4 linked regions of the Oreochromis niloticus genome follow. The protein of the gene in region 2 interacts with the protein of the main gene of each other region in a pairwise test. Links are inferred from orthologs where the notes say so. Each region holds a gene or a part of one and is shown on either strand. Other genes may lie near its edges. The genes, in order: ube2z, plekhf2, frmd8 and hspb7.

Region 1 (7,803 bases), on a different chromosome or scaffold from region 2:
TCCAGTGCTGATCCTGATTTGCATCAAGCCCAGGAATAAGAAGCCTACTGAAATCTGATTGGCTATCAAGTTAACATGTTAATGATGTCAAAGGATGGTAAATCTCTGTACTTTGCCTTTTACCTTGGTCATGTCCTGAGGATCAGGGACCACGAACATCCCTGGTGGAGGTTCCTTGTAGATGGACATAATATCCCTACAGACAAAATAAACAGATGAGGTTTGTGAAACACTGAAAAATGGAGAGAGAACCCACAAAGAAATATGCCCCTAAACATTCCAGCAATCCACTAGTAAAACAGTATGCCCTGGAGGTGAATGATCTTAATATTTTCAGAAATCTATTATAAAAAGTACATTTAAGTACAGTACTGGGCCCTAAAGTTGCTCTAATGTGAAGTTTTCTAGCATACTAACGCAGTCATTAAAAAAAACCTACCATAGTCAAGTTGGCAATTATATGCAGTGTGTTTCTGATAATACAGCAATTAACAGTGATAAACTGCATCTGTGTTCAGCAACCCTGCTGTTCTTTAGGAATGAAACCAAAATACAACCAGCTGAGTCGAGTCCTCTCGACTTGTGACAAAGACTCATTCAAACTGATACCAACATGTTAACAATCTGTTTGCTTTAATACATTAGACGGGAATTATTTACCAGAGTTGCAATGATGCTAGAACTTCCAGGAAAAGACTCGAAGGCAACAAGAATGTTCAAGCTATCAAGCTGCATAAACAGGTAAATTAAGTGAAATTGTACATTTCATTAATTTGGGTCAAGCGATTCCTTAATAACTTTATTTTTGTTTATTAAGCAACAAATTAATGAAATGTTAAAAATCAAAGAAGTGTGTTCATGTATGTGTAGGTCAAACTAAAGCAACATCTTTAAACATAGGCTGAGTGCGCTACTGTCTAAAATACTGCTCAAAGGGTATCTCTCAGTTTTCTGGATTTGTTTACCGTAAGACTGGTAATCTCAATAAGCCGTCTCAAAAATCAGGTTATCAATTTGCAGAGTTAAGCCTGCATGTTTGTGTAAACCAGGTGGTGTTGGCAACATTTTACCAATCTAAAACAGGAATTTCAAAGGCAATGTTACTCTTTTTCCACAGAAAACGATCCCTATAAATGCCAACAATTCAATCAGCAATATTATTAGATGATGATAAAATTGTGATTAAAAATCTATAAAAAGCATAAAACTTATAACAGCAAAATGCAACAACTGCAAAGAAGACATGCAGTTAATGCTGCAGAAAATTATTAATCTGGTTATTTAGCACACAAAGCCCTATAAATAATTAACTGGAATTTAAATGTTTATTTATCACTGAGTGCACTCTCAGTGCTGGTGTTTATTTCTAAGGTGATGGCTACACGTTAGAGCTCTGAAACTTTGAACTGGTCCCACTAATCCAGGCTTAGTTAAACATATCTCACTCAAAACATGTCACAAATAAAAGACTCAGTGAAAACGTGATGCTTCCAGAAAGTTTTAGTTTTTATTCTTTCAGCTACAGACTCAGTGGTGTTGAAGGGTTTGAAGCAGTACAGTGTAAGTGTCCTGTTTTAAGATCATTAATCCTTCTAGAACAATAAAATTGCTGTAAAACTGTCTGCTTCTAACATTAAAAAATACAAATAAAATAAAACCATGGAATAAAGCTGTATCTAAGAATCTATATTTATTACTGATGTGAAAGCCAAAGACGTTACACGCTATTAAAACAAAACAACAACAACTTCAGACCCTCTGTGGGACCTTCTAGGAATGGTGAATTTTCTGGATAACCGATTCGTCAGAAGGCAACGATTTCACACCTGTTGGTCTCTGATCTCGAACTTGACCTGCTCTGGGGGAGGTTAAGTTACCATGGCGACAAATCCTGGTACGAAGTTAACCCGAAAACAGATAGTGAACAGAAAAGTAACCCTGTGGTTACCTGGTTCCGACGAAATCTCGCTTCTTATTACAGACCTCTAGTTTCCCAAATGTCCCCGTCAAATGTGACGTTTTAGATGCTGTTAAAAACTTTACGGAAAGATTTCACTTTCGATTGCAGGTCTAGATTACATAAATATTCCCACCTGCGTCAGATTTGTGTGTGATATGTTTCCTAGAATTACCTCTTTATCCTCAGGATGCACTGCTGGGAAGCTTTTTCGTTGTCCCAGTCCGTGCTGAGAGTTGGGTCCCAGGAAGTGGCATTGATTTGAGAGAGGAGGCCCGCTCCTGCCGCCCCTAGCCCAACACCGGGGAGAGGCGAGGAGGCATGCAATGTGGGAGACACGGCCACGACGGGTGGTGAAGAGCCGGGAGTCAATGTGTTCCCAAAACTGACCGGGGTAGCAGTGACAGCGGACATAGGGGCCACCACAGCTGTTAGGCCACTCTGCGCGGTGGCGGCAAGAGGCGGAGAGGCCGGGTTGGAGCTGGAGTGCACACCGCCAGTTGCCGACATTCCCACCGGCAGAGAGTTAGACAAAATCGGAAGCTGTGAGGCTCCGCTCCCCTGTCCCGTAGTAACGTCTAAGCCTAGGGCACTGCTGCTGGACTCATCTCCAAAGCTGTCCGCCATGGCCCACAAGCTAGCAAGCTACAGTAAACCCGTTGGTGTTGAGTAATTTATATTTTTCTCCTGCGCAGCATTGACAATAGAGTTTAAAGATAACCTGCTTCCTTTGGTGCCCAACGCGGATCAGACAGCAAAGAAACCGGGCAGAGGCGAGGCCAGAAAGCGAGGCAATTCTTCCCAAGACATAATGAATATTTATCGTTAGCTTGACTGTCTTTACCCCCAGGCCTCCAAAAAAAACTGCTCGGTCTTCAGCAAAATTGCAACGTCACAGTGTTACGGTTACCACTGCCCTCTGGATACTGGTTTAAACCATTAAATCCTCAGAACATTTGGTTTATTACCAACCACATCCCTACCAGTCTTTTACCATCGCAACTTTAGGAGCTTGTATTTGTCACCAGTTAAGAACACGGAAATAATAAAGCCACGGCACATCCGGGCAAAAATTTTCAAAGTAAAATTCCTGAAAATTAAAAAACAAAACAAAAACAAAAACCAAAAAAAAAACCAACCCACCATCATTTCAGCTTTTGCAGCTAGCTTTTGAGCAAGGCCATGCTCAAAATTTGCAAAAGAATGGGAAGTTATTGTGCCCTCACAATCAACTGTCCGAGTTTGTGATCCACTTCTGCATCTGCAGAAAATATCTCAGTTTGTCTCCTCCTTTGCCTCTGTAATCTAAAACAGAGATAATATGTCTTGGATAATTTTTAAGATATTTTTGTACTTTTTAAATATACTTTTTTACGTTTTTTTAAAATTTGGAATTGGAAAATGAGTTGAGCTGAATGCTTCCTGTCAAAGTTGGTTGCCTATCCAATGCATGGACTCAGCCCTGTAATAAAATCAAGACTTGCATTTTTTCTAATGGTCAGCACCTGTGAAGTATTGTAGTTGCAAAAGCTAAGTCCCGTTCTATGAAAGTCAGTTTGGAAAACAGCCCTCAGCTCCCTTGACCTATAATCAGAGTAAACACTTAATGAGTAAGTAAAAAACACAGTAAAGAGCTTAGGCAATAAAATTAGATCAGAAAATGAGCTTTCTCCAAAAGGTGGATAGGGTTTCCCTTAGCAATACGGTGAGGAGATCAGTATTTGGCAGGGGTTAGGAGTAGAGCCGCTGCTCCTTTACATCAAAAGGAGCCAGCTGAGGTGTGTGCCTCCTGGGTAAGGTGTTTCAACCGGGCCTATCCTTACGGTAGGAGGTCCCGGAGTAGACCCGGGACCTGGAAAGAATATATCAATTATATGGCCTGGGAATGTCTTAATATTTCCCCGGATAAGCTGGAAGAAGAAGAATCTGGTGAGAAGGTCTGGCGTTCCCTGCTTAGGCTCCTGCCCCCACGTTCCACCGTCAGATAAGTTATCGAAGATAGCTTTTTATTGTTTATTTATTGTTTTAATATTTTAGATGTTAACTTTTATTGAAGTGGTTGTCTTGAGTTTTCAAACAGTGTGCATCATTCACAATGCACGGCACATAGTGCCACAACTTTCAGTCGCATTTTATTTGTTTTTGGCTGTTAATTTTTCCCATTTTAATAATATGTTAAGATCTTTTGTAGTAACATATTTGTGTGGATGCCTTTGAGGGCATCCACACTATTGAGTTCCTGTTTCTCTTTATTGTGTGGATGCTGGAGGCTCTTTAAACTTTATTGTGTGGATGCCCTAAAGGGCTTCCACACTATTTGTGTGGATGCCCTAAAGGGCTTCCACGCTATTGAGTTCCTGTTTCTCTTTATTGTGTGGATGCCCTCAAAGGGCTTCCACACTATTGAGTTCCTGTTTCTCTTTATTCTTTATTGTGTGGATGCCCTCAAAGGGCTTCCACACTATTGAGTTCCTGTTTCTCTTTATTCTTTATTATTATTCTTCTAGTTGCTTCCGTACACTTTTTGGACTTCAACTACTCCCTCAGTTTTCAGCCGATTTTCTCAGTTCAAACTATACTGTTCTGCCCTTTCTGCTCTTTCCGGCAATGACTTTTGGTGTTTATTACTATCATACTTTTTAAAATATTACACTTTTTTCCTTTAATTTGTCCCATTGAAATGAATGGAAAACTTCCGCAATTCTGCTAAAACTTGCTTGTTTTTGAAACTTAACTACTTCCTCATACTTTCACCTAGAAACTCCATTCAAACTTTAAAATGTTCTCAGATTATTGGGCTATTCCTGTCTGATTCAGCTTTTTCAGATCTTCTACTGTTTTAATCTTATCCCTCTTTAAGTTTTCAGTTGCAAAATTTTGATTTTTCAGAAAATACATGCGTTGTTATGGTTGCTATGCAATTAACTCAGAGTGGACACTCATCCATTCTGAATTTTCTCTTCATGTTCCAACAACTTCTTGCTACTCGCCCAATTTCCACTCAAGCTCCACATATTATACATCAAAACGTAGGTATTTTTGCTGGCTTTCAGAAAAAGGTCACTATCATTGTTGTGGGAGTTATAGATTTTTTGCAAATCTCCTCAGAGTAACACAAAGTCTGAAAATTGTCTTTAGAAAGTCAATGGAGAGTTTGTTCAAAATCACCGCTGTATTTGTCTAATGAGAGGCATTTTTAAATCGTCATATCTCCTTAACGAAACAAAGTTGAGACATGAGGCTTGTGCAAATATATCTTCAGACAGTCCTGATGCTCACAATTCAAAAAGTTTTTTATCACCTATTACCGTTTGGCCAAGAATTACACTTGTTTGAGAGTAGGAAATTCATGCCTTGCTCAGATCTCTACAGATTTCAAACTCTGGAAATGAGGCACTTTTTTCTCTCGTCATATCGTTTTGATGGATTTCCACAGAGACCTGAAAATTCCCATGACTGTTCACCAAAGCCTGCTGTTTCTTACGGTGAAAGAATGATTTTGATGCTCCATATAGATTTAGAGTTACAAAACGTTGTTTGAGGGCAGGTCAAGGCAGTTTTGCTTTGCCTCTACTCAGTTACAGTGTATTACAAGTCATATATCTTCAAGAATTTATATTTTATCTCTGAATTATGAAGACCTGCAGATTTCCCCATCTCTTCTGAACAAAACGGTGTCAGAATGACCGTTCTAGCTCCTACGGTTAGGAAATTATGGCCATTTGTTCGAGGGGAATCCTGAATGTGAGAAATACACTGAAGGAAACCCATAGCTCTCTGTGTGTCTGTGTGTGTAAGTGCTGATTACAGCAGGTGCAGCCAATTTAGCTGACCTAGATATACCAAGCCCAGACTCTTAACAGCCCCTGTACACTTTGCTCTCTGTGTATGTGTGTGTGTGTATCAATATCTCTCCCATGTTAAAGTATTACTCCTCCATAATAGTATTTGTGCTATATCAAAGTACTTCTACTACATTTTAGTACTTCTGCTCAATCATAGTATTTCTGCTAAATCATAGTATTTTTGAAAAATCATGTTGTTTGTGCCAAATCATGGTTTTGGGGCAAAACCATAATATTTATTTCATGTTATAGTATTACTACTAAGTGGAGGAATGTCTGTCATGTTATAATATATGTGCTGATTACAGTATATCTGCCAAATCATAGTATTTATCTCGAATCATAGTATTTATGCCAAATTACAGTATTTCTACTAAAAAGCAGAAATAGTACCTTTTAGCAGAAATTTCTGTCAAAAGATATTAGTTATGTTAAAACATAGTATTTCTGCTAAATCATAGTATTTCTGCCAAATCATAGTATTTGTACTAAATCATAGTACTTGTGGCTATTCATAGTACTTGTACCCAATCGTATTATTTCTGCCATATCATCATATTCGTGTCAAATCATAGTATTTTTCTGCCAAATCATGGTATTTGTGCCAAATTATAGTATTTGTGCCCAATTAAAATTTCAGAATCAGAATCAGAATCGTGTTTATTGGCCAAGTATATGTGCAGACAAATACAAGGAATTTGGTTCCGGTAGATGGTGGCTCTCGAGCACAGCAATGTAAATCACACACAGACACAGACACACACGCACCCACACACACACACGTATCTATATATACATTACACATGCATACACATACATACACAAAGCTGTGTAAACCAACTATAACTAATCTAAACGTATATACATAAAATACAGAAATGAAATGAGGTGGAATGAATACTACAGAATGTACATAAGGTACAGTTACAGTCTGGCAGTGGGAGCAGTGTGACAGGTCAACTGTTTAGAAGGGAGATGGCGAGGGGAAAGAAACTGTTCCTGTGTTGGGTGGTCCTGGTCTGCAGGCTTCTGTACCGTCTGCCAGAGGGCAGCAGATCAAAAAGTCTGTGTCCAGGGTGTGAGGGGTCTGTGATGATTTTCCCTGCCCGTTTCCTGGTTCTTGAGAGGTACAGATCCTGGATGGAGGGCAGGGGGGCGCCGATGATCCTTTCTGCTGCCCGTACAGTCCGCTGCAGTCTGCACCTGTCCTGTTTAGTGGCTGCACCATACCAGACTGTGATGGAGGAGCACAGGACAGACTCAATGACTGCAGTGTAGAACTGGATCAGCAGCTCCTGTGGAAGACTGTACTTCCCCAGTTGTCTCAGGAAGTACATCCTCTGCTGGGTCTTTTTGAGGATGGAGTTGATGTTGGTCTCCCACTTCAGGTCCTGGGAGATGGTGGTACCCAGGAACTTGAAGATCTCCACAGTCGACACAGGGCTGTCTGATATGATGAGGGGGGGCAGAGTTGAGGGATGTCTCCTGAAGTCCACTGTCATCTCTACAGTTTTAAGAGTGTTCAGCTCCAGATTGTGCTGACTGCACCAGAGTACCAGCCGCTCAACTTCCTGCCGGTATGCAGACTCATCACCATCCTGAATGAGGCCAATGACGGTGGTGTCATCTGCAAACTTTAGGAGTTTTACAGCTGAGTTCTTGGAGGTGCAGTCATTAGTGTAGAGGGAGAACAGTAGTGGTGAGAGGACACATCCTTGAGGGGCACCAATACTGAGGGACCGAGTTTCAGAGGTGATCTCCCCCAGCCTCACTTGTTGCTTTCTGTCTGTCAAGAAGCTGGTGATCCACTGACAGGTAGCTGGAGACACGCTGAGCTGGGAGAGTTTGGAAGAGAGAAGTTCAGGCACGATGGTGTTAAAAGCCGAACTAAAGTCCACAAACAGGATCCTGGCATAAGTTCCCGGGCGGTCAAGGTGTTGCAGGATGTAATGCAGCCCCATATTCACTGCATCATCCACCGACCTGTTTGCCCGGTAGGCA
Region 2 (7,064 bases):
GCCCACAATTTCCTTTAACCTTTTGTTCCCACAGAGATACTCAGTCTAATAATGCAATACAGCAGAGTTTTTCCTATAGTAGAACAGGATTATTAGAGTGCTTTTTTGTTTAACCTTCTTCCTACAGAAATTCCAAAAGTGATCGCTACAAAAACGCTCCATATAGGTAAGTTTATTAAGCCCAGCTGTTCCTGTCACCGCAAAGTATTTTAGAAAGCATCCTTATCAATATGTAAATCTCTTCCTGCTCTTCACACTCAGTCATCACAGATGTTTGCTTACAGACTGTATTTGTTCCCCCAAACCTATTTAGTTAGAATTAGAGAATCACTGTTTTATTTCAAGTTACAGTTGAACAGTTGCAGCTAATTCTCGTTTTTTTAATAAAATTAATATATGTCCAAAAAAACCCAAAAATATTTTGTTAACCGTAACCATTGTACTATACAATATTCAGAAATCTTTACATTAGAAGAAATTCCTAGTGAGTACTTTGCTTAAGAGTTGAAAGATTTCATTACTAAATTTAAACCACCAGCTGATCCAGCATTATTTTTGTAAGTGTGAGTGACAAATGAGAAAAGGTGAAGACAGTGGGGTGGTTTAATACTACTTAATAATACTTTCTTTAAACATTTAAACAATAGCCTTTGCCAAAGGTAAATGTCGTTCTGTTTCCTAACAGGGCGATGACAGCCACTCAAGTCAACACTGACAGCTATCGAGTCACAATGTAGCACCCACAATACATGAGGGAACAAGGGGATACTCTTTACTCTTTTGTTCAAGTGTACATGTGGGAGTTTGATCAACCAGGCTAAAGGATTTTGAGAAGGCATTTGAATGCATCCCTCGGTATGTCACGTACATCCCTTGGGTGCTTCAGAATTAAGAAGTACCAGGCGTGTTGTTACAGGCTAATCAGTCCATGCAGATGCATAGTGAGAGCTTAGTCAGCATTGGCAGCTATAAGTCACATTCATCCCCAGTGGGTGTTGCACTCTGCCAGAGGTGCCCTTTGTCACAGATTCTGTTCATAACTTTTAAAGACAGAATTTCAGGTTCAGCCAAGAGGCGGAGAGTTTCACGCTTGGTAGTCTAAGAATCACGTCTCTGCTTTTTGCAGATGATCCTGTCAGATACATCAAGTGATTACCACTGTCTCACACTGGAGTGATTTGTTGTCAAAGCACCAGTATTGCAGCCATATCCAAAGCCAGAGTGCCCACCCCAACATGGGAACAAGTTTCTGCCTCAAATGGAGGACTATTCCAACGCAGATTTTGTTCACTAGTGAGAGGAGAACTGAGAATGGAGTGAGAGCTTGACAGACACAGTGGTAGTGTTACAAACATTGTACCAGTCTGTTGTGATGAAAAGAGAGCTAAGTGTTAAGGCACAGCTGTCAACATCTGGGAAGTGACAGGAAGAATGAGTCTGTGGGTATAAACAGTGAAAATTAACTTCCTCCATAGGGTCTCTGGGCTCTCCCTTACAGGAGGGGTGAGGGGCTTATAACCACTGCTCCTCTATATCAAAAGGAGCCAGCTGAGGTTACTAGGATGCCTCCTAGATAACTCCTATGTGTGGTGCTTTGGGAACATCCGACTGGGAGGAGACCCGAGGACAAGCCTAGTACATGCTGTAGAGATTATGTCATTCAGCTGGTTTGGGAATGTCTCCATGTCCCACCAGAAGAGCTACAGGCAGTTGATGTGGATAGTGAGATCTGGTTATCTCTGCTTAGACTGCCACCCCTCCGATTCATACCCAGATAAACAGCAGAGAGTGGATGTCATTTCTTTAATTATTTCGTTTTAATTATTCTAATTATTTGGGGTGGCTTAAACTGGAAAGTGGACAAAGAAGAAAACCTTAAAACCGTGAATTAGGGATTTTATAATTAAAAATAACAAAAATCTTCTTCTAACTGAAAATGAATCAGTGGGAGGAGAGAAAGCGAATACTGGCCATGGAAGACATGTGATCGTCCTCTAACCTTAAGTTCAAAGACTCCGTGTAGTGGAAAAAGAAGTCAAGTGAAAATAATGGGCAACCTGACTAAGGCAGAGGCAAGGCGTTGCAGACTTCCCATTTTGTGGTAGACAGGTTTCACCAGCAATCAGATTCGCACATTCGCTTCCACAAGAGCTGTAATAACAGAGCCTGGACCGCTAACTGATTGTAGGTTACCTGCACAGTGAGGCAAAGGTGGGTGAAGTTGGCCTAGAGAAATATTAAACTTTACACTAGGTGGAAAAGTCAGTTTCCTTAACCACGCATCAGGCTAACATTACCTACGCTGATAAATGGTCCGTTTTCAGCCTGTCCTGACCTGCTAAAAATAAATAAACCGCAATGACTTTTCCTCGCAGTACTCAAAAAGCCACCACTGGCGAGGCAAACTGAAACCGTCACCCTCACTTTATTGTTTCTTTACAATGAACCACCTTAACCACGATATGACTAAAAGTTTCTGTGACTTTTCAAGTTATTGCCCCGCAAGTTTTCCAAGCTGGTGTCAGTTGGCAGCGTTAGCCAGCTAGCTCCCAAGTTAGCTTCCCAAACAATACTCACCTCTTACTGCTTGTGTCAAACAAAAATCAACTCCGCTTTTTCGACTTTAAGACTACAAAAAACTTCTCGATTTTATGTCCCTGTCTGGGACTCAGAGGAAAGAAGGATAGCTGCTCAACTGCGCTAAGCTACCGCCTGTTAGCATGAATGGGAAAAAGTAGAAGCAAACCACAGAGCAAGCCGTAGCTCCCCTTAGCAAAGAGTGACAGGACACCGACGGAGACAAGTTTAAAAACGGGGAAAAACTACATACCCGACGGCAGCTCCCGTTGTCCGGCAACTTTTGCTGTAACTTGAAGCTCGGTAGTAATCCAAATAGAGTGATTAAAGCAGTGCCTTCCCCACCGAAACTACCCACCGCGTCCGCAGACAGCGACAGCAGCTGGAAACTCTGCCGCTGCCCAGAAAATACAACAACAACATGGCAGCGCCGCGCCGCGTTCACGGCGCGCTGGACAGCCGGCAAATACAAAACTAAAACGTGCTTTTCTCTGACCTGCAGACATGTAACAAACTTCAAACAAAGCTGAAATGCGAATGAACTCGTTTATTCTGGCACAACGTTGATACAAACATTACGAAAAATGCCCATCATCATTACTTAGCGGAAGTTTATAACTTCACATGTTTTGTCTCGTCCAGCAAACAACTGACAATTATTTAAATATTAAGTTTTTACAGTTATGTTAAGTACAGTCGTGTACGTCTGTATGTCCGTATTATTACTTCAGCTGTTTTTTAGGGTCACCACAGCGACTTATCTGCCTCCATCTCATCCTAGTCCTCTGTCCCACCAGCCATTTGCATGTGACCATCAGTATCAATGGAAATCGCATCATCTCATTATCATCAGTATTATTGTTAATATTATTAGTAGTAGTAGTATGCATGCTTAATTGTCAGATAACCTAGTTGTTTTACCTTTACTCTCTTGGTCTCCATTCATTCTTCCGCCTTTAACTATAAAATTAGTGTTGGAACAATTTGTGAGTTAATTTTAATATTTCTTCTTTTGAAATAAACTTTTATCTCCTTTTACAACAAAAACATAAACAATAATAATCTTCATTTTTATGATATCTGTTGCTGCTTTGTGCAATACTGTATATCACTGTTTACCCACCTTGAGTACTTTATTGATATTCTTCAGTACAAAGGTTCACATACATTTATAGTGTCATGTCATGCATGCAGCGTTACCGCGAATGTCTAATTGGAATTATATTTATGTATATGTAACATCCCTGTATTATGTCTATGCTGTGCATTGAGATACAAGCAGTGCAATAATATTACTCTACTATGAACTCCTTATTGCCTTTAACTCCTTATTGAAGTTTACAAAATGACTTGACAAACAGGTAACAACATAATAAGGGTAAATTCAAACAGTGTGGCAAACATTAAAAACAGACAAAACAGAAAGAATTAGTAAAGTAACCCCCAAAACCACAGGGTGCAAGACAAGAATCAATAATAAAATAGAACAAAAGATGAAAGACTAACTAAGAAAAGAGGTGAAAGATTAATCAGGTAAAAGGAAGGGTATAAAACTTCAATTCAATTCAGTTTAATTCAGTTTTATTCATACAGCACCAAATCACAACAACAGTTGCCTCAAGTTACTTTATATTGTAAGGCAGGCCCTGCAATAATACATACAGAGAAAAACCCAACAATCATATGACCATCTATGAGCAAGCACTTTGGCGACAGTGGGAAAGAAAAACGTTTTTAACAGGAAGAAACTTCCAGCAAAATCAGGCTCAGGGAGGGGTGGCCATCTAAGGCCTTCTTAAAGTGATTTAAGAAATTATTTTAAGTGAATTTTGGACTGCTGGGCACAATAATAATAACAATAATTCTGTCTACTTAGTACTTTTTCACACCATGTTATTCAATTTAACTAATGCTTGCTTTTTAATTAGAATGTCACATAAAAAATATGATGTATTTATAAAATAACAGATTTATCCATCAATTCACAAAAATTGTTTGGGGCCTCTTTAAATACTTGTTAGTAATCTTTAAAAACTAATTTCCTTTCAAATATTTTTATTTAAATGTATTTGGACTTATCAAGATATTCGGTATTATTAATATCTGGTAGACAAATAAATTAAATGAGAATAGATTAGTGTATTACTTGAATTCCTTTCACATTAATTGATGTGAAAAGGAATGGTATAATGTTGTTAAAACAAGCTGCATATTAATAAACAAAACCTTACAAAGTTCTGTAAACTTTCTTCCTACACTGTGATGCATCAAAATGAATAATGTAATCGGTCACAATAGTCTGTTTGCAGCACAAATACTTTTGATTTTAATCCTTAAGTAAATTTAGGTGATAACAGCTGTTAAACACACCCGATTAAACAAAAACACCAGCAAGTCCTTTAATCAGCTTACAGTGAAACCTAAAAAAAACTTTTATGACTTTTATGACTAACTGGTTTTCAAGACTTGTTACACGCACCAAATTTTTGTTTACTTTAAATGTCCTGCCAGATCAGAAATCATGCAAGATTTCTTAGTTGTGTTTGTTATTGCGGTGTTTTATTCGATGTCAAAGAACAATACTAGGTTGGATCTCCTTTAGCCTTAAGAACTGCCTCAGTTCTTTGTAGCTCAGATTCAATGAAGTGCTGAAAACAGTCCTCACAGATTTGGTCCATATTGACATGATAGCATCATTCAGTTGCTGTAGATATGTCAGCTACACATCCATGAAATAAACTTTTACCACATCCTAAACGTGCACTATTGGACTGAGATCTGGTGTCACATGAGTACTCATTGTCACATTTGACAAACCAGTTTAAGTTGATTTCGACATTGTGCCATATGTCATCCTTCTCGAAGCAGCCATCAGCAGATGACTACGACTACACTGCAGTCCTAAAGTGGCAACCACTGTTTAAACAATGGTTAGTTGATACTAAGGAACCCGAACTGTGCCAAGAAAATATCCCCAACATACCACCAACACCAATTTGGACCGTGTGATGCAAGTTTACATGGATGGTTATAGGTCGTCTATGTCACAGTACAAAAATCAAGGCTAATCACACCTGTCAGCATGTTTTCTGATCTCCTACTGGCCAGTTTTGGTGAGCTTGCATGAACTGTAGCCTCAGTTCCTTGTTCTTAGCTGACAGAAGTGGGACCTAGTGCAGACGTCTGCTGCTGATTCAAAGTTTGACATGTTCTTTGTTTGGAGATGCTCCTCTGCATACCATGGTTTTAACAGTTGTTATAACAGGTTATTTGACTAACTGTTGCCTCCCTATAAGCTTGAAGCACTCTGGCCATTCTTCATCAACCTGACATCAACAAGGCATTTTACCTAGAGAACTGCTGCTCACTGAATATTATCTCTTTTTTTGAGAGATGATTGTGTGGCAAAATCCCAGTAGATCGCCATATTCAAAAGTCACTGAAATCACCTTTTGTCACCATTTTGATGTTTTTCTTGACCTTTAGCTGTCTCATTGTTCACATCTACATGCCAAACAAGTTTCAGCAAGTAAGGATGCAGTTGATTTGTTTATTCCCACATGCAGTGAAAGCAGCATGAGCAGGGCCAGAAGTTGTGGTATTAGAAGGAGACCTGCTTTTGGTCCAGAGCAGAAACCAGGACAGGACATGCTGCGGCTTGCTGGGCAAAAATGGTGTCACCCAAACTAAAGTTAAAAAAATAAAATCAGTGGGAAGTGTTTCCTTTAGTGAGAATAACTTTTTAACAAGTTTCCTCTGGCATTCTGAAATGTGTTAAAAAGATTTTTGTTGCCCGAGGCAGTGGAGATGCTGTTGCTACATGCCCTTAAGCAAGACAATAGAATATCTGCAGCTGAAGCCCCACATCAGCCTAGCAGGGAGTCAGAATTGATCCAACGCTACTACTGTTTGGGTGTTCAAAGAAGGTTTTCAATTTGAACCCCACCCTCCCGGTAGCAGTAAACCTTTGCCCTCCTTGTCTATAATTACTATTTTTTCCCCATACCTTGTCACAGGTGTATCACATGGCCTTCTTCAGCATATCACTGTTGCTCAGTTGTTGATGATTTGTTACCATCTGGATCCTTTCAGGATAATTTAAAAGTGAAGCATCAAAATTAATTTTTGATCTTGAACATTGTCATTTGTATGTCCAAACTCAAAGACCACTTAGGTGCTTTCCCCAGAGCTTTTAGCTGTTTGCTGTTATGTTATTTTAGGCTAACACAACATCTCTGGACAAAGCTGCTAAGCTCGCATGCCAACTATTTATCTCTGTCATGATAAAATAAATTCATCAGTCATGGTGGAAAGCTGCAGGAGAAAAAGCAATGAAAAAGATGGGTAACAAAGTGTTTACTTCAAGGTTTTGAAATTAACTTTAAGTTATACTAACTGAGTCTGAATTTATTTTACTAGCATTATTTAATAGAAATGTAGGTGACAGAAGATTTGTTTATATCAAACTGACAAAGATTTCTTTTCTT
Region 3 (7,041 bases), on a different chromosome or scaffold from region 2:
TAATCCTAAAAGGATCACATAATCTCTCAAAGAGTGGAATATAACGTCTCTTTTTCTCTTCCTCCAAATGGTTGTTCTATATTCACTTTGATTTTCTACCTGTTTCAGTCGTTTCCTTTCCTGTTCAACAACAGCAGTTCATGTCAATGCCTCCTTTTCCTTGTTTCTCTTTTATCTCATCCAAGCAAACCTGACAGCCCTTTTATCCATTATTTACCTCGAGTAAGCCAGCAACCAGCATTAACTTATAAGTAAGCTAGAAATAAAGAGGAAACAGCTGCAGAAAAAGAAACAAGCTGTTGTCAGCACGCAAAAATGCTTTGTTTGGAGGCAGAAAACCAGGCTGATGACAGAAGTCAGCTTAAGGCAAACAGAGAGTGCCAATTACTAGACTGGACAGATGTTTACGTGCAGCTCATTGCTAAATACAGTGTTTTAGAAACTATAGAATAATATTCTTCGGTCTGTAGAGGATTGCAGCTGTTTAATTATTAGATTTATGGCAACATAAGAGAGCATACTCTGTAAGCAAAAAGCTTTACTTTATCTTATTAGGAAGGATTTACAAGAATAATCTACCACTCAGCAGCAGAAGCCATTATCTTTCCTTTCATCTCTTTGTACACTGCAACCACCCTTTTCCTGTATGAAGTTCCTCTCATGCTTTCATTACAGAAACTAGATTTCTTGCATTGACAGCTTTTCTTTAGTCCAGTGTTTGGTGGCGCACGCAAGTCAAAACTCTGACCTTGTGAAATGTCTTCCTCTGAAGCCTCGGTGAAGCGATAAAGCAAGTCGTGCCACTGCCGACACAACTTGTACGGTTGATGCCTTGTCTTTAACTGCAGTTCTGAAGATAGGGAGTGAGGAAAAAAGTTATACAGCAATATGTTTTACTCATATCAAGTAATATCATATATTACAGTTAAGTGATAGAAATATGAGGGGGGGAAAGAGTTCTAACCGAGCAGTGGAGAGCAAAGCCAGAAGGCAAAAACATCCTGTACAGACTCAGGAATATGGAGAGCTTCACGAACGTTGCGGCCCAGCTCTTGCACGGTGACAGTGCCGAGCCCTTCTAGAGTTAAGTGTACTGCACTGTCACCAAACAAGTATATAAGCACATCTTGAGCTGTGTGAAAAAACATAATTTTAAAAAAAGCAAAAAGATTAATAACAATAACAATAATAATAGATTAACTACTTTGGGGGGGTTTTGCATGATAAAATAATCTGGGTGAAACTGTTTGGCATCATACCACGGGATAGTGTTGCAGAAGAAGCCACACTTCCTCTTAGTGAGTGATCATCTGATGAATCTGGAGGAAAACTGCACTCATCTCCTTCCATCTCTAATCTGAAATCAAAACACCAAAAATTCAGACCAGTAACAACACAGACTCAAGACAAGATACTTTAGAGGGAGGAGCAATGCAACTGGAAGGGATGGCTAGAAATGTACCCAAGTGTCTGATGGGTGAGACAAAACAATCACCAGGAGTGAAAAGCAAAACAGTACTGTAAACTGCACTTGAGGAACACAAACACGTCGCAGTTGAACACAGAAATGGCAACAGAGGCAGCACACCTGCAATATATTAGAGTCCCACTCCCAACCCTAATGGACTCTCAAGTTATTCATCAACAGTATGCTAAAAGGAAATGCCAGCAAAGCGGTGTAGGCGTGTGTGCTGTTTATACTGACATTCTTACACATGTGTGTAATAGCTTGGGAATAGCCACATACTATATCTCTCTAAATAAAGCATTACAGCTAAGTAACCCCTTCAGAGATAACTAGACCAGCAGGAATTCAATTCAATTTAATTTAATTATATAGCGCCAAATCACAAGAACAGTCGCCTCAAGGCGCTTTATATTGTAAGGTAGACCCTACAATAACAGGGGGTGTATCTTTATCACTTTATTCCACTTGGTGCTCTTTCCATTATATTTTGTTCAAAACAAAAGTCAGGGTTCAATACATAACCCAGCGCCACCTCGTGTTTTTAACCCGAGAATGATCCTATACAATCACTACATCCCAGTCAGTCGACTGCTGACCTCACCCTGTTCAACTGCAGTGCTCCCTGAGCACCAACATGTAACTGTTAGGGTTTTTAACGTGGCTTAGAACATTTCTAGAACAGCCTTCATACCGTTACAGAGAGATAACAAACACGGGCGTCGTTGAAACGGGCAACATCTCGCCGCCCGTGGATAAAACAATAGCTAGCTCCTTAGTTTTAACAGGGCTGCCCCTTACATACCCAAACTCAGCCGGGGATTAAAGGTAGACATTACAGAGAATAACTCAACACACAAAAAGTGAAATGCGTTGACTAACGTTAGCTAACAGGCAGTTGAAAACACCATGCTAGCTAAATTAGCTAGGCATCGGAAATATTACCAACACTGGACGTCACTGCGATCATTTTAGACGTGTTAATGCGCTTCATTTATCTGCCAGTAGGAAACAATTTAGATGCCGAAGCTATCTGGCCCATTGGCTAACTTTGTGTGTGTTTTGTTTAACAGAGTGACCCACTATTAATAGCAAGTGATGAAACTACTATGTTCCAATGTCTCTGTTGTCCACCTACCTGCCAGTTCCTGTAAGTTTCCGTCCACTTGCTTCTCTAGATGGGATCCTGCTGATTTTGTAAGTACTGTGGCCAAGTACACTGACTAATTAAAAACCCGCTGTTATTGCCCTCACCACAGCTTCCCAGCTACCCTGAACTAGCTCTTCTAGCAGCTGCAACAGTTTCAAATTTTGCGACTCCCGAACGACTTGATTATTCTAAACCGTTCCTCATTATTTGGGTGTGACAGCCAAGCTAGAAGATTTTTCTAAACACAGCAATTCAAATATTTCTAAATTAAACAGTCGCGGAGGACACTGGAAGCGAATATCCATACATGTTCCATCTGGAGGTACTTTGAAAGTTCACTGACTGACATAGAGTGTACACTTTGAAGTCGTTCACATGAGATCGGGTCAAAAATACTTGATCCTCAGAATGACGGGGAAAAAATGAGGCAAACGTCAGAGAGCGCGTCGTTCCGTCACGTGACTGAAACGTAATCGCAGTTGTATTTCAGCAGGCAGCGGATTAATTCTGTTTATCTGTTGACTGTCATTAAATTTACCTGCGAAAAACAGATTACAGCCACGGTAATACAGTCGATTCCACGCAGTCACAGCTTCAGACGTCCTCATGAATCAACTTTGATCTGATACAGTCTCAACCCATGTCTCACAAAGTGGTATTTATTGGATTGCATTTACTCACAGTTTAATATCACCCATTGTATTTTCCCATATTTATAGACTTCTTAAATTGTATATGTTAATATTCTTGGCAGTATATTGACCTGTTATTTAAGTTTAATGCACCATGTCAGGGAGTATTGCCATAATTATGTTATCCTTGCATAATGACAATAAAGAGTCATGAATCTTTTCAACAGATTTAAAAACAGTGACTCTAAATATACACCGACCAGGCATAACATTATGACCACCTGCCTAATGTTGTGTTTGTCACATGTCACCCTTTTGCTGACCCATGGAGGCATGGACTCCACTAGACCCCTGGAGGTGTGCTGTGGTATCTGGCACCCAGATGTTAGCAACAGATCCTTTAAGTCCTGTAAGGTGCAACATGGGGCCTCCATGGATCGGACTTGTTTGTCCTGAACGTCACACAGATGCTCAACTGGACTGAGACCCGGGGACCTGATCAAACCGTATCAAACTCTCTCAAATCCTTACTCTGGCCCAATTTCCCTGCTTCTAATACATCAATTTTGAGGACAAAATGTTCACTTGCTCCCTAATATATCCCACACACTAACTCTTGCCAAGCTGAAGAGATAATCATTTATGTCTGATAGGTGTAAATAACATGATGGAAATACTGCACTTTGTAATGTGCAAAAAAGGCATGTATGTAAACAGTAAAGTGATTTTTTTTTAAATAAACTTCCTTGTACAGTTTTAGGGAAATATATTACATTACATATTGGCATGCCTATATAACTTTGTGTTCGAATGATTATCTCTCAGCTTTACCAGTATTCCGTTTTACCAGTCTCAGTATTATTATTTTTCACCTTTTCAAATTTGTATAAGGAGACCAAGCCTTCATATGGTTCACCGTGCATCTGCCAGCCACCTGACGCAGGCGTCTAACTGCAAAGGCAGCAGGCTGGGTATTAACTAATGGGATTTAGCAGCTAAGGTGTCAGAACAGAGGACACACTTGATGGCTTTCATTGCATTACTGACATCGATTAATCAGCCTTTGTAATCTGATTCCTTTCACTGAGTGAGATAAGAGAGAGGCAAGGAGAAAGTGCTATCTCACAGCCACTGTCATGGAAGGTGACAAGTGAAGTATTTTAATGTCTCTGCGTGCTGTATTTACATCACAAAGAAAATAAGAAAACAACTCCACTCCATGAGGCATTTAGTAACCTCAAACTTTAATAAATCATCTTTTATATATTATTATTGTCATAATCCTGTTGCGCAGCAGAGCATTGTGCCTCATGTCTCTCTACAGTCAGCTTTACATCTTCCAAAAAATATATAATTTTTGTCCACTTGCTCTTCGATTAATGTTTATCTTCTGATTGATGGGTGCATCAATTGCATATATTTGTAGGACTGTAAACATATAACAATCAAGGATTTGTTAATCTTGTGCAGTGAATAACAGGCAAAATAAAAGTGATAAACAATAAAAAAGATCTCATTATTTTAAGCATCTTATTCATTTTAAGGAGTACAAGTGTCTGAAATCTGGATTAATCATAGCTGCTATGGGTACATTTACTGGCAATAAAGACACCAAGATAGAATTTGACTGGGAATTAGAGTAACACTGTATAGATAAACTTTACTTGTGATAGTCATCTGACAATAAAAAAACAAAAACACTATCCCTAAATTTGTGAAATTCACAGAAATTCGTTATTGTGTTCTTTTTTAAAAATTGAAATCATTCCGTAGTTGCCGTCTTGTACAAGTTATTTACACGTGATGTTTTTAAATGTAAAATGTGGTTTAGGTGGGAGTTGGTGTAGCAGCTGTTGTGGCTGCAGCACTCCCTTCTTCGACCTGGTTTTTGAGCAGGAAGAACTTCAGCACAGGGTCGAGGTACTCCATGATGGTTTCTTTCACTCCCTTCTCTAGCAAGTACCCTTCTGTCTCAATTTCAGTGTTTTCCTTTCCTGCCACTGCCTCCATGGCAGTCTGCAGGAGGCGCAAACTCACAAGCACAGAGCCCTGCAAAAGTGAGAGCCATTGAGGAACAAGTTAGACAAGGGTAAGCTCTTTAAAACCTAGTGTTGTATGTCTCTCATTTGATAAATTACAAGCTCGCTGTCGCACCACAATCTCTGCCTGAAATCATTGTCGGGCTTACCTGTAAGAGGAAGATTGACAGAACTCCAGCCCCAATTGTGTTCATCAGGCCCATGTAGTAGTTGACTAGAGCCTCTCTGCACCCTCGGAGGTAGATGTTGAGCTCCTCAGTTTGGTAATCATAGTTATAGTGAGCTGAATTGTTGGTAAGCTGATACTGGATGCACGGCCGTGGAGAACTGGGGTTACAGCAACTGAATGGGACTCCGTCTACCAAGTAACGGCCATCCACGTTGCTCTTGATGCGGCTATAGAAACAAATGAGGGATTACTAACACTGTTACCACATGATTGTTTTCTTTAGTCACACTTTTTCAATCCAAACTCTTTAATTTTTCAAGAATATGCACAAATGTGAAAGCCACTACCCTCCAGACCCTTACTCTTTCACTTCCTTAGAGCTGAAATCAAGGTAGCGGTTGCTGATCCACTGGACCTCGAACCAATCCCTGAAGTCATTGTTCCCACAACACTGAAACTCCATCTGCAGGCGATCGATGTTCTGCTTCTGGAAGCAGCGGCCTGGTGTGTCTGTATCCTTGTAGAAGCGGATGCCATTCCTCAGGCCAGCCTTTAGAGAAGACTCCAGACTGCCCTTCATTGCGTAGCTCATGATGACAGCTAGCAGCATGAGCACGGTGAAGAAGCAAGAGACAGCGAAGTAGGGCTTCAAGAAGTTCTTCCAGCGAGGGAATCGCCCAGCGTCCAGGGCATCCTGACAGATCTTTGATGCAAAGTAGTTGATGCCCAGGGAGGCGAGACCAACAATCATGAGGGTGTTCGGCACAATATGAATGTCTTGGTTATCCATTACCTGAAAGTGAGTCACACAGCAATGTATGGAATATTAAACCATTCAAATTTATCTCATTAAAATTATGCAGAACAAATAAACAAAATTAGTGAAGTATGAAATTGTATGAAAATCACACTCACCAGCCACTTTGTGAGGTACACCTGTTCAACTACTTGTTAACAGAAATAATGAAGTAGCCAGTCACATGGCAAGAACTGAGTTCATTTAGGCATGTAGACATGGTCAAGATGACTTGCTCAAGTTCAAATTGAGCATCAGAAGAAAGGTGACTTAAGTGACTTGGCTGTTGGTGCCTGGTCTGAGTATTTCAGAAACTGCTGATATACTGGGTTTTTTTTCCCTACACAACCATGACTAGGGTTTGCAGAAAATTGCTCGTATCCAGTGAGCTTCAGCTCTCTGAGTGAAAATGTCTCTGTGATACTAAAGGTTTAAGTAGAAAGGCCTGACTACTTCAGTCTGATAGGTAAGGAATGGTAACTGAAAAAAAAAACACTTGTTACAAACAGGGTATGCAGAAGAGCATCTCTGAGTGCACAACACATTTAAGCAATGGGCTACAGCAGCAGAAGACCACATCAGGTACCACTCCTGTCAGCTAAGAACAGGAAATTGTGGCTACAGTTTGCATGGCCTCTGCAAAATTGAACACCAGAAGACTAGAAAAATGTTGGTTGAGTGAGTCTCGTTTTTTGCCTTGTATCAATGACTTACTTTGTTGTTTGATGTGGGGATATTTTCTTGGCACACTTTGGGCCCCTCAGTACCAACTGAGCATGGTTCAAACCCC
Region 4 (7,580 bases), on a different chromosome or scaffold from region 2:
TCCATTTTTAGACATGATCAGAATCTCTGCTTTTGCTGCAATAGCGTGACACACCTATTCCACACATTCAAGGCAAACATGGATTTTATTGTCGATTTAATGGATTGAGCAGAGACAAAAGATGAACAAGCACCTTAATTATTACAGTGCTGAGGATCATCTGTTTTCCATGGTTAAATAAAACTGCTAGAATCTATGCCGCATGCTTACCAACCTGAGCATGCCATTGGCTGATCTTGAAAGCTAAGCAGCGCTGGGCTAGGTTAGTACATCAATGGGAGACTGCCTACAAATACCAAGTGTTGTAAGCTTGGGTTGGCTGTAGGTTTGTGGTCCAACTCTTGGCCTCTGCATGCTGAAGTACCCTTGTGCAACATACTTTAACCTCAAGTTGTCTGTTAGATAGAAAGCACTTAGACAAAAGTGCCTCTGTGATTGAGGGGTGTTGTGTAAAGTGCTTTGAGGAGTCAGATAGAAATCAGTTACATTCCCTTGTTGTATGTTTCTTTCGTAATTCCAAAATCTTTTTTTAGCTCTTGTTGTTCATATTCATATACAAGATCAAAAAATATGATGAGTAATAATGGCAATTAGTTGATGAGGTGTAAAAATTGGGGTAAAAATTAACTGTTTTGAAATTTGGCTCACATTATGGGCAGACATGAAAAAACAGATCATTAATCTGTCCACATTCATCCATAATCTATATTCACTTTCATTTTTGCTCTGTTTGGGTCTGCACCACCTCTTTGGAGAATATATCTGACTTTTTAGCTGCTGAGTTAATGACTTTCTCTCCTCGGATGTTCAATAACCAGAAGTTGACTTTTGTTTTTTTGTTTCCAGCTGACTTAAGTTTTCTGAGAGCAGTTTGGAGGCAAGAAAACCGACAGCCGAAAGATGGTTTGTGGCTGTGTCGCTCCTGTGAATCTTCCACATGACATAATCATTCAATCCGTGCCCGGTGTGAATTTAAGAATTGTCAAGAGGCACAGCTGTAGTCCCGGTTAAATATCCTTGATTGATAGGTGAGTGAGTCCAGGAAAAAAGTGTGATTTATTTTCTGTCCCTGTGGAGTCTGAGCTCACTGAAAGCCTGCGTGGTGCATGACCTCACACACACGGCAGCAGCCTGGAAATGAGTGTGTGTGAGTGATATTAGCTCTGACTTCACATGTAGGTTAGCTTAATTATGTGACCTCACCTCACTGTGCGTGTATGTGTGTGTAGGTGTGTGTGTGTGTGTGTGTGTACACTGGTCACTGGGCAACCATCTGGTCATTTCTCATGCAGGCGTCATCCCAGATACTCAGTGTGTGATGTCACACTGCTGGCAGTCAGTCCAGCATTCCCAGGTTTGCACGTACTCTGTGTGTGCTTGCGTGTGTGTGTGTGTGTGTGATTGCTTTGCCTTCTTCTCAGCAGCGACCACCTCACATCTTATCTGCTGCACCTATTACAGCACCAACTGTGGCTCCAAAACAATGCTGCTCTGCCTCTGACACATAGGAGCACATGGACCATTTAAAGATCCGATTTCACACATTCACGCGTCTGCGTGGACCGGCAGCAAAGTGATACGGAGCACTTCACACCAAGTGGACACTGAGTTACTGAGGCAGTAGATGAACCAGGCTGTGTGAAGAAAAAAATCTCCTCAACCCTCCGTTTTAAACACATATGTAAATTCCTAATACATCTTTTAAAAAAGGAGAAAATACACATCCAAAAATGGAGTGTGTTCTGTTTCTTCTTTTAGCACCTTGGCTACAGTTTTCCTTAAAGAAACATCTGTCCACACACAGATCAGCCACACCATCGTCTTCCTCTGAAGATATGTTATCACTCCTCGAACAAAAACACACCACTGTACACAAATCGCCTTCAAGCGGGCATAAATCTTCTTTGCCGTCAAAGCTGTTCCTTCCACTCTCTTTTACTATTAATTTTTTACCCCTTTTGTTTACAAAACGAATGCCAGAGACCTTAAATTTGCTTCCAACTTACTGGAAAAACCCAAGGAGTCGCTCCCAGGCCGCATGAACGAGCCAAAGTCCTCAGCAAATAGTCCCCGGCTCTTCTCCATGTATGGGTTACCAGAGGACGTAGTTGAGGATGAAGTCTGGTGGAAACTACGCTCCGATCGATAGGCAGAGGAGTTGGTTACACTCATGGATGGCTGTAAGTGCTGGGTAAGGCAGAGGAGGAGTGAAAAGGAGAGAAGAGGGAGGCGGAGAGAGTTGATTCTTCTTGCGGCTATAGTTGCACACACAGCTCTTCTATTTACCTGTACTGTCTTTTTCTGTCTGTCTATTTATTCTTTTTTTCTGGTTTGCGTAAGGCAGTATCAACCTTTACCCCCAATCTCTTGCAGCCCTTTACCCACGGCCCTTATATACTATACGGTCCCATGCAGTGGTTGGGAGGTGGCACGTGTCACACAAGCCACAGCTCATTGGGAACACTGTTCTAAATTTATCATGAGACTCAGAGCTGATGGAGAGATGGGTCTGTGGTTGGAAAAGTTCTGGGCACTGAAGGGCCTAAAGTTAAGAGAGGGAGGCAGAGTGGGATTTGATAGAGAGAGGCAGAGAAAGAGCAGGGGCTGACAGGGGATAAAGGGGAGGGGGGCAACAGTTGTCACTCCATCACACGTCATCCCTGAAATAGCTTTCCGACCCTCGCTTTAATTCCCCCTGCTCCCCATCACTCCCATCTGTCTGTTTCTTCTGCTTTCTTAATATTCAGGGCCACGTCTTTTGACCTGAAATTAGAGCCGCACGTGTTTCTGCCATTTAATGACAGCGTACGGTGTAGCGCGGTTTCATCTCATTATAGAGATGTTTGTGCTCTCACAAGGGCCCGTTTTCAACTGAAATCCTTCTCAGTGTCATAAGTTTATTTAATTCAATCTCCTAATCATGTGCCAGAAAACGCAGCTGCTGTCTTGTGTTGCGCTGAGAGAAGCGAGCAAAGTCAAGCTAAAAGTGAAAAAAGCGCCTCACCTCTATTTTCAGAGTGTAGGTTAGGAGAAAAGCAAAGCTGGAAAGAATGTGGCTGAAAACAAAGCCACGGATGGGGGCAGGGGCCTCGGTAGTGACATTGCTTTGTGGCTATTAATATCTGCATGGAGAGCACAGCCCATCATGATTAGCAAACACTCTCTGCTCCTTTTTTCTAGTTAGTGCTGCTGACAGCTAATCCATTAAAATCCATTTATGTGCTCTCTGAGGTTGCCTTGTTGACTTGTGATTCATTATTCCAGTGAAAAGGAGGTTGCCTGTGATTCGCAGGGGTTTATATGTAAGACACATTATAGGCAAATCAGAGATCACAACCTCAGTCCTTAACATCTAATAATGACCATCACAGTCAATCTTTACAGTAAATTCTCAGGCAATCCACCATGCAAGGTGATCTTATTTTTTTGAAACGTTACCCAGTATTGAAAATGACGCCACACTGTTATTTGCTTCCAGTCTTATCAGTACAGACCTGTGATGGCTGCATGCAACCACACAATTGAGATACTTAGGTAATATTCATTTGATCTTTTTGTCCTATGTTTACATTATGCTCTAAAGCTTCTGTGATCATAAGTTAACTAATTTGATATTTTGAGTTTACCTGTAATGCATGACAGCACTAAGCTATAGCCCAAATGGTGGCATAGACTTTGCATTGTTTGTTATTTTATATAGGTATGTTATATTAATTATATTTCTGCTCTTTCTGAGTTACTTGACCTCTGCTCCAGTCCTTCCTAGTTTGGCTGAAAGAGGAGGCTGAGGGTGGAGCTGGTTTAAATGCAGAAGCCAATAAAGTGGATGGGACCATCTATTGTGATCATGTAGGGGGAATGGGGTTCTTCTTGAATGATGGTTAGCTGTTATCTCTTTAGTTTTCACCTTTGGTGTATATAATGGTTTGTTCATTTGCTATATAACTAGAGCTGTTTCTCATTTGGGCAGGTCAGTTTGTTGAGTTATGTTTTTGTTAAGTGACTTTTGAGTAGCGTTCTGTTAAGTTAACCTCTTTTATGGGCCCACTTGGTTCTTAAAAAAGTTTATTTTTGTTATTTTGAATTTTTGTAATCATCTTGTCCTTTTTGGGGTATAATAAAACCCATTTTTTTGAAGATTATATTTGTGCCTGTGTGTTCCTGGCTGCTCAGATCATGACAGACCCCTGCTGAAGGTCTAAATCCAGCCCAGCAACTCAGCACCTCCCTAACAGAGCCTCCTCCCTACCTAGTAACAGCAGTAATATTGTTACTTTATTTCAGAGTCAGATATGAATCAGTGTTTCAAACTTCGAACGGAGATTAAAGCTGCTGGTTGTAGGAATTGATAAGAATTCAGTGATTCCTATTCCATTATCAACATCACTTATAGATTAAGTTCTCATTGGGTACGTTTTCAGAGTCACCACCATCTTTAAGCAGCAGAAATGACATTAATGCTGTGGGTCAAATGGTTGTGCATGTTTGTTGTGGTATTTTCCCTCTTTGTTGTGATCAGAGTCTTTACTCAAAAAAGTGATTATTTCACATATTACCCTGGCCGCAATGCAGTATATGACTTATTTACTCCCGAGAGTAACATTACATTACATTCATGTTACTCTGTGAAATAACTGCAACACACATAATCTTATAATTTAACACTATCAACCCCAGGCAACATACACACACCAAGTCAAATCCCTAATGAGAAGACATGTCTCGAAGATCAGTCTCTTAGTGGACAAATCTGACCACAGTGGGTTCTTGGCTAGCTTAGCGTTAGCATGCTGTCTGGGCAGATGCTTGAAACCGAAGTTGTGTTAGCAGCATGATGCAATTCTTCCTGTCCTCGATGCAGTCTGTCACTTTACCATTTATCTTGTCCTGTTGTGCAGTAAAAATAACTGTCCATGCTCTAGACTGAAGCGCTATTTTCCTCCTCTGACACGCGAACTGAAATCAGGTGATTGCAGAGCCTTCTGCAGCCTTCCATATCACAGTTTATGGACACTTGTGCCGGACAGTACAGCATGACTCATCCACAGCAGAAAGCTATCACAAATGCGTGATTAAGTGACTTGATTATTGGTCGCAACCTGCCCCTGTCTATTGTGGAAAACAAGAATTTTCAGCACTTTCTGGCAGTAGTTGACAGAAAATACAGTATGTCGCAGAACAATTGTATCAAAAACAGAGATTGGTCTGGTCAGGAGTCTCCAAGCATCGTTGAACAAAAGATTTTTTGGGATCTCTATCAGTGTGCAAAAGGCTAGAGCAGAAGATGGGCTCACTGCTCCCTTTTCAGATCCAGTATACCTTAAAGCAGCTGCTGTGGATCCAGCATTCTCTCTGTTGTGGGTGGAACACCATGTGTTGGGCAGTTGTGACATAAAGACAGAGGTGACACTAAAAGTTAAAGGTAAAGAGTGAATATAGTGTATATTCTTTCTGATTATTTTTTGTCTAAAATTGTAATAAAGGCTCTTTTGCTGTTGTTAATTTGTTTTGCCAGATCTGATCCTGCAAGATGCTGCAGTCCTGCAAAGCCAGAGCAACCTGTGACTCCTGGTGAGGAACATCAAGAAGACTGTGAAGATGGAGGACTCTTTGCTGCTTATTGTAAGAGGCAGAAGAAGGATGTGGGGAACAGCAGCGCTACAGCTAACTTTATGATGAGAGAGAGAGAGGACAAGCTAATCACACTGCACTAAATTTACTGCGATGGTTCATTGTTTTGTACAGAAGGAAATCTCAGCACTTTTTGTTTGAACAGGAAGTTCTACTTTTGCATTTTTCACTGAATGTTTATTCTGTGAATTTGTAGTTTAGAGGAAGACTATTCTTGCAGCAAAGTTTAATTGAGCTGTACATTATAGAGGTGCAATTTCAGAATTAGTTTGTGCATATCTTGTAAGTTCACTTGTTTCATCAGGTGTTGAGATAAATACAGATTTGAAAAAGAACACCTGGTCTGTTATTTACATTTAACATATGACTGCAACATTGTTTAAAAAGAAGACTTGAAAGGACTTGAAATTCAAAGTTTTGGACTTGGGACTTGACTTGAGACTTGACTCTGACTTGAGGATAAAAATTTGAGACTTACTTTAGGCTTGCAAAACAATGACTTGGTCCCACGTGTAGGTGATTGTAGCGCAAGCGCAAAAAACGACAAGCAGGCTCGATAGGTAGCAGAGGTGAGAAGTAAGGAAGTCAGATACTTTTCTTTACAGTACTTAAATAGAATTTTCAGGTATCTCCACTTTACTTAACAATTTATGTATCTGTCAACTTTTGACTTTTACTTCCTAGATTTTTAAACAAATATCAGTACTTTTTCCTCCTTACATTTTCTAAACATGTTTATTTTTGGTTTAATGCATTCGAGGCAGTCATGTTCCCCTAATAAACACCAGGGGATGTCGCATAAAAATAGATGAAAGAGGCAAATGGTGTGCCATAGCCACGGGTATTTTTATTTATTCATTTTATTTTGCACAACATCGGAATAGTTGCAGGTCGTGGTTGCACTCCGTCAGAGTCTATTTAGCCCTACACAAGATGAGCGAGCATTAAGCGAGTATTATTTTTTAAGTTGTAAGTAATTTCAAATGCAACATTTCTATTAGCTCAACAAACGTCCACAAACACACAAATGGCTTTCATGCATTTTGTCGCACAGTATGTTGCTAGCTAAAGGTCCAGCTGCTGTATTTCACAGGGAGAGAAAGAGAGCTAACTACACTCAGAGATGGAAAAAGATAAGAAAGACAGGGCAGAAAAGGAAGAAGAGGGGTTAGAATTACAGGTAAGAACTGCTCAGTGGTATGTGATAAACTGTAAATGTAAAGCTTACAGGTCAGTCCTCATGTTTTTAAATCAGATTTTGAGTCTGTACATGTGACATTATGTTTTTTCATGTTGTGAAATGTGCTGCAAAACAAACTGAGGTAAACTAACTGTGGTTTACTGTGATGGATTTAAAGTGCGTGTGACTGGTACACAGTGGCTGTGGTGCTCACGGTCAGAGCTCAGTTACATAAAGGGTAACAGAGATGAATTTAAAGTTAAGGTGATGGTGCTTAGATTCATTCACAGATTGAAACCTTCACACCAACTTTATCCTGTGTGGAAAAAAGAGAGCATAAACAGAATACTGTCAGTGTAGAGGCTGGACACAAAGGACAAGGCATGACCATCTGTCGACATCTTGTTGAACTCAGTTGTGTACATCCACAAAAGGTCGCAGGTCAGCTGATCACAGCCTGTACAAAAAGAAAATCTACTGAGCTCTCAATAGAAATTATTGTGAGCTGTGATTCTTTTCCCCACGCTGAGCAATTACAACCAACTTTAGGGTTCCGTTCAGATCTCATGTATTCATGTTTGCCTTGACTCTTTCTACCTTTATATCAGCCTTATTAAAGGGCTGGAGTGATGATGTCCTTATGACATCATCCCTCCATAAGCCAATGAGATTGTCACATGACATTTTTGAATGGGGATATTTAAAAAAAAAAAACTGTTTTCAAATTCAACTTAATATTTAAGTGTTTCTTAGTTTTAGACCAGTTGTT

The links.
Region 1: the proteins of plekhf2 (region 2) and ube2z interact in binary tests that used the Homo sapiens proteins (3 or more experiments, as listed by UniProt). The two-hybrid records come from large-scale screens. The link is inferred for Oreochromis niloticus from reciprocal best matches to the Homo sapiens genes PLEKHF2 and UBE2Z.
Region 3: the proteins of plekhf2 (region 2) and frmd8 interact in binary tests that used the Homo sapiens proteins (3 or more experiments, as listed by UniProt). The two-hybrid records come from large-scale screens. The link is inferred for Oreochromis niloticus from reciprocal best matches to the Homo sapiens genes PLEKHF2 and FRMD8.
Region 4: the proteins of plekhf2 (region 2) and hspb7 interact in binary tests that used the Homo sapiens proteins (3 or more experiments, as listed by UniProt). The two-hybrid records come from large-scale screens. The link is inferred for Oreochromis niloticus from reciprocal best matches to the Homo sapiens genes PLEKHF2 and HSPB7.

The regions. Positions count from the first base shown.
Region 1 is NC_031969.2:1,108,676-1,116,478, forward strand, and holds the start of ube2z (ubiquitin-conjugating enzyme E2 Z), read right to left. Parts: upstream 3,019-7,803; 5' UTR 2,585-3,018; coding exon 2,133-2,584; intron 197-2,132; coding exon 124-196; intron 1-123. UniProt on the Homo sapiens protein: Catalyzes the covalent attachment of ubiquitin to other proteins. Specific substrate for UBA6, not charged with ubiquitin by UBE1. May be involved in apoptosis regulation.
Region 2 is NC_031976.2:29,650,217-29,657,280, reverse strand, and holds the start of plekhf2 (pleckstrin homology domain-containing family F member 2), read right to left. Parts: upstream 3,017-7,064; 5' UTR 2,831-3,016; intron 1-2,830. UniProt on the Homo sapiens protein: May play a role in early endosome fusion upstream of RAB5, hence regulating receptor trafficking and fluid-phase transport. Enhances cellular sensitivity to TNF-induced apoptosis.
Region 3 is NC_031975.2:9,261,781-9,268,821, forward strand, and holds the start of frmd8 (FERM domain-containing protein 8), read right to left. Parts: upstream 3,022-7,041; 5' UTR 2,604-3,021; intron 2,433-2,603; exon of another isoform or gene 2,411-2,432; intron 1,358-2,410; 5' UTR 1,351-1,357; coding exon 1,260-1,350; intron 1,133-1,259; coding exon 965-1,132; intron 851-964; coding exon 749-850; intron 1-748. Other genes in the region: rom1a (rod outer segment membrane protein 1a), read right to left, coding at 5,075-5,296, 5,436-5,682, 5,818-6,248. UniProt on the Homo sapiens protein: Promotes the cell surface stability of iRhom1/RHBDF1 and iRhom2/RHBDF2 and prevents their degradation via the endolysosomal pathway. By acting on iRhoms, involved in ADAM17-mediated shedding of TNF, amphiregulin/AREG, HBEGF and TGFA from the cell surface.
Region 4 is NC_031984.2:27,250,228-27,257,807, reverse strand, and holds the start of hspb7 (heat shock protein beta-7), read right to left. Parts: upstream 3,023-7,580; 5' UTR 3,005-3,022; intron 2,402-3,004; exon of another isoform or gene 2,287-2,401; intron 2,188-2,286; 5' UTR 2,173-2,187; coding exon 2,007-2,172; intron 1-2,006.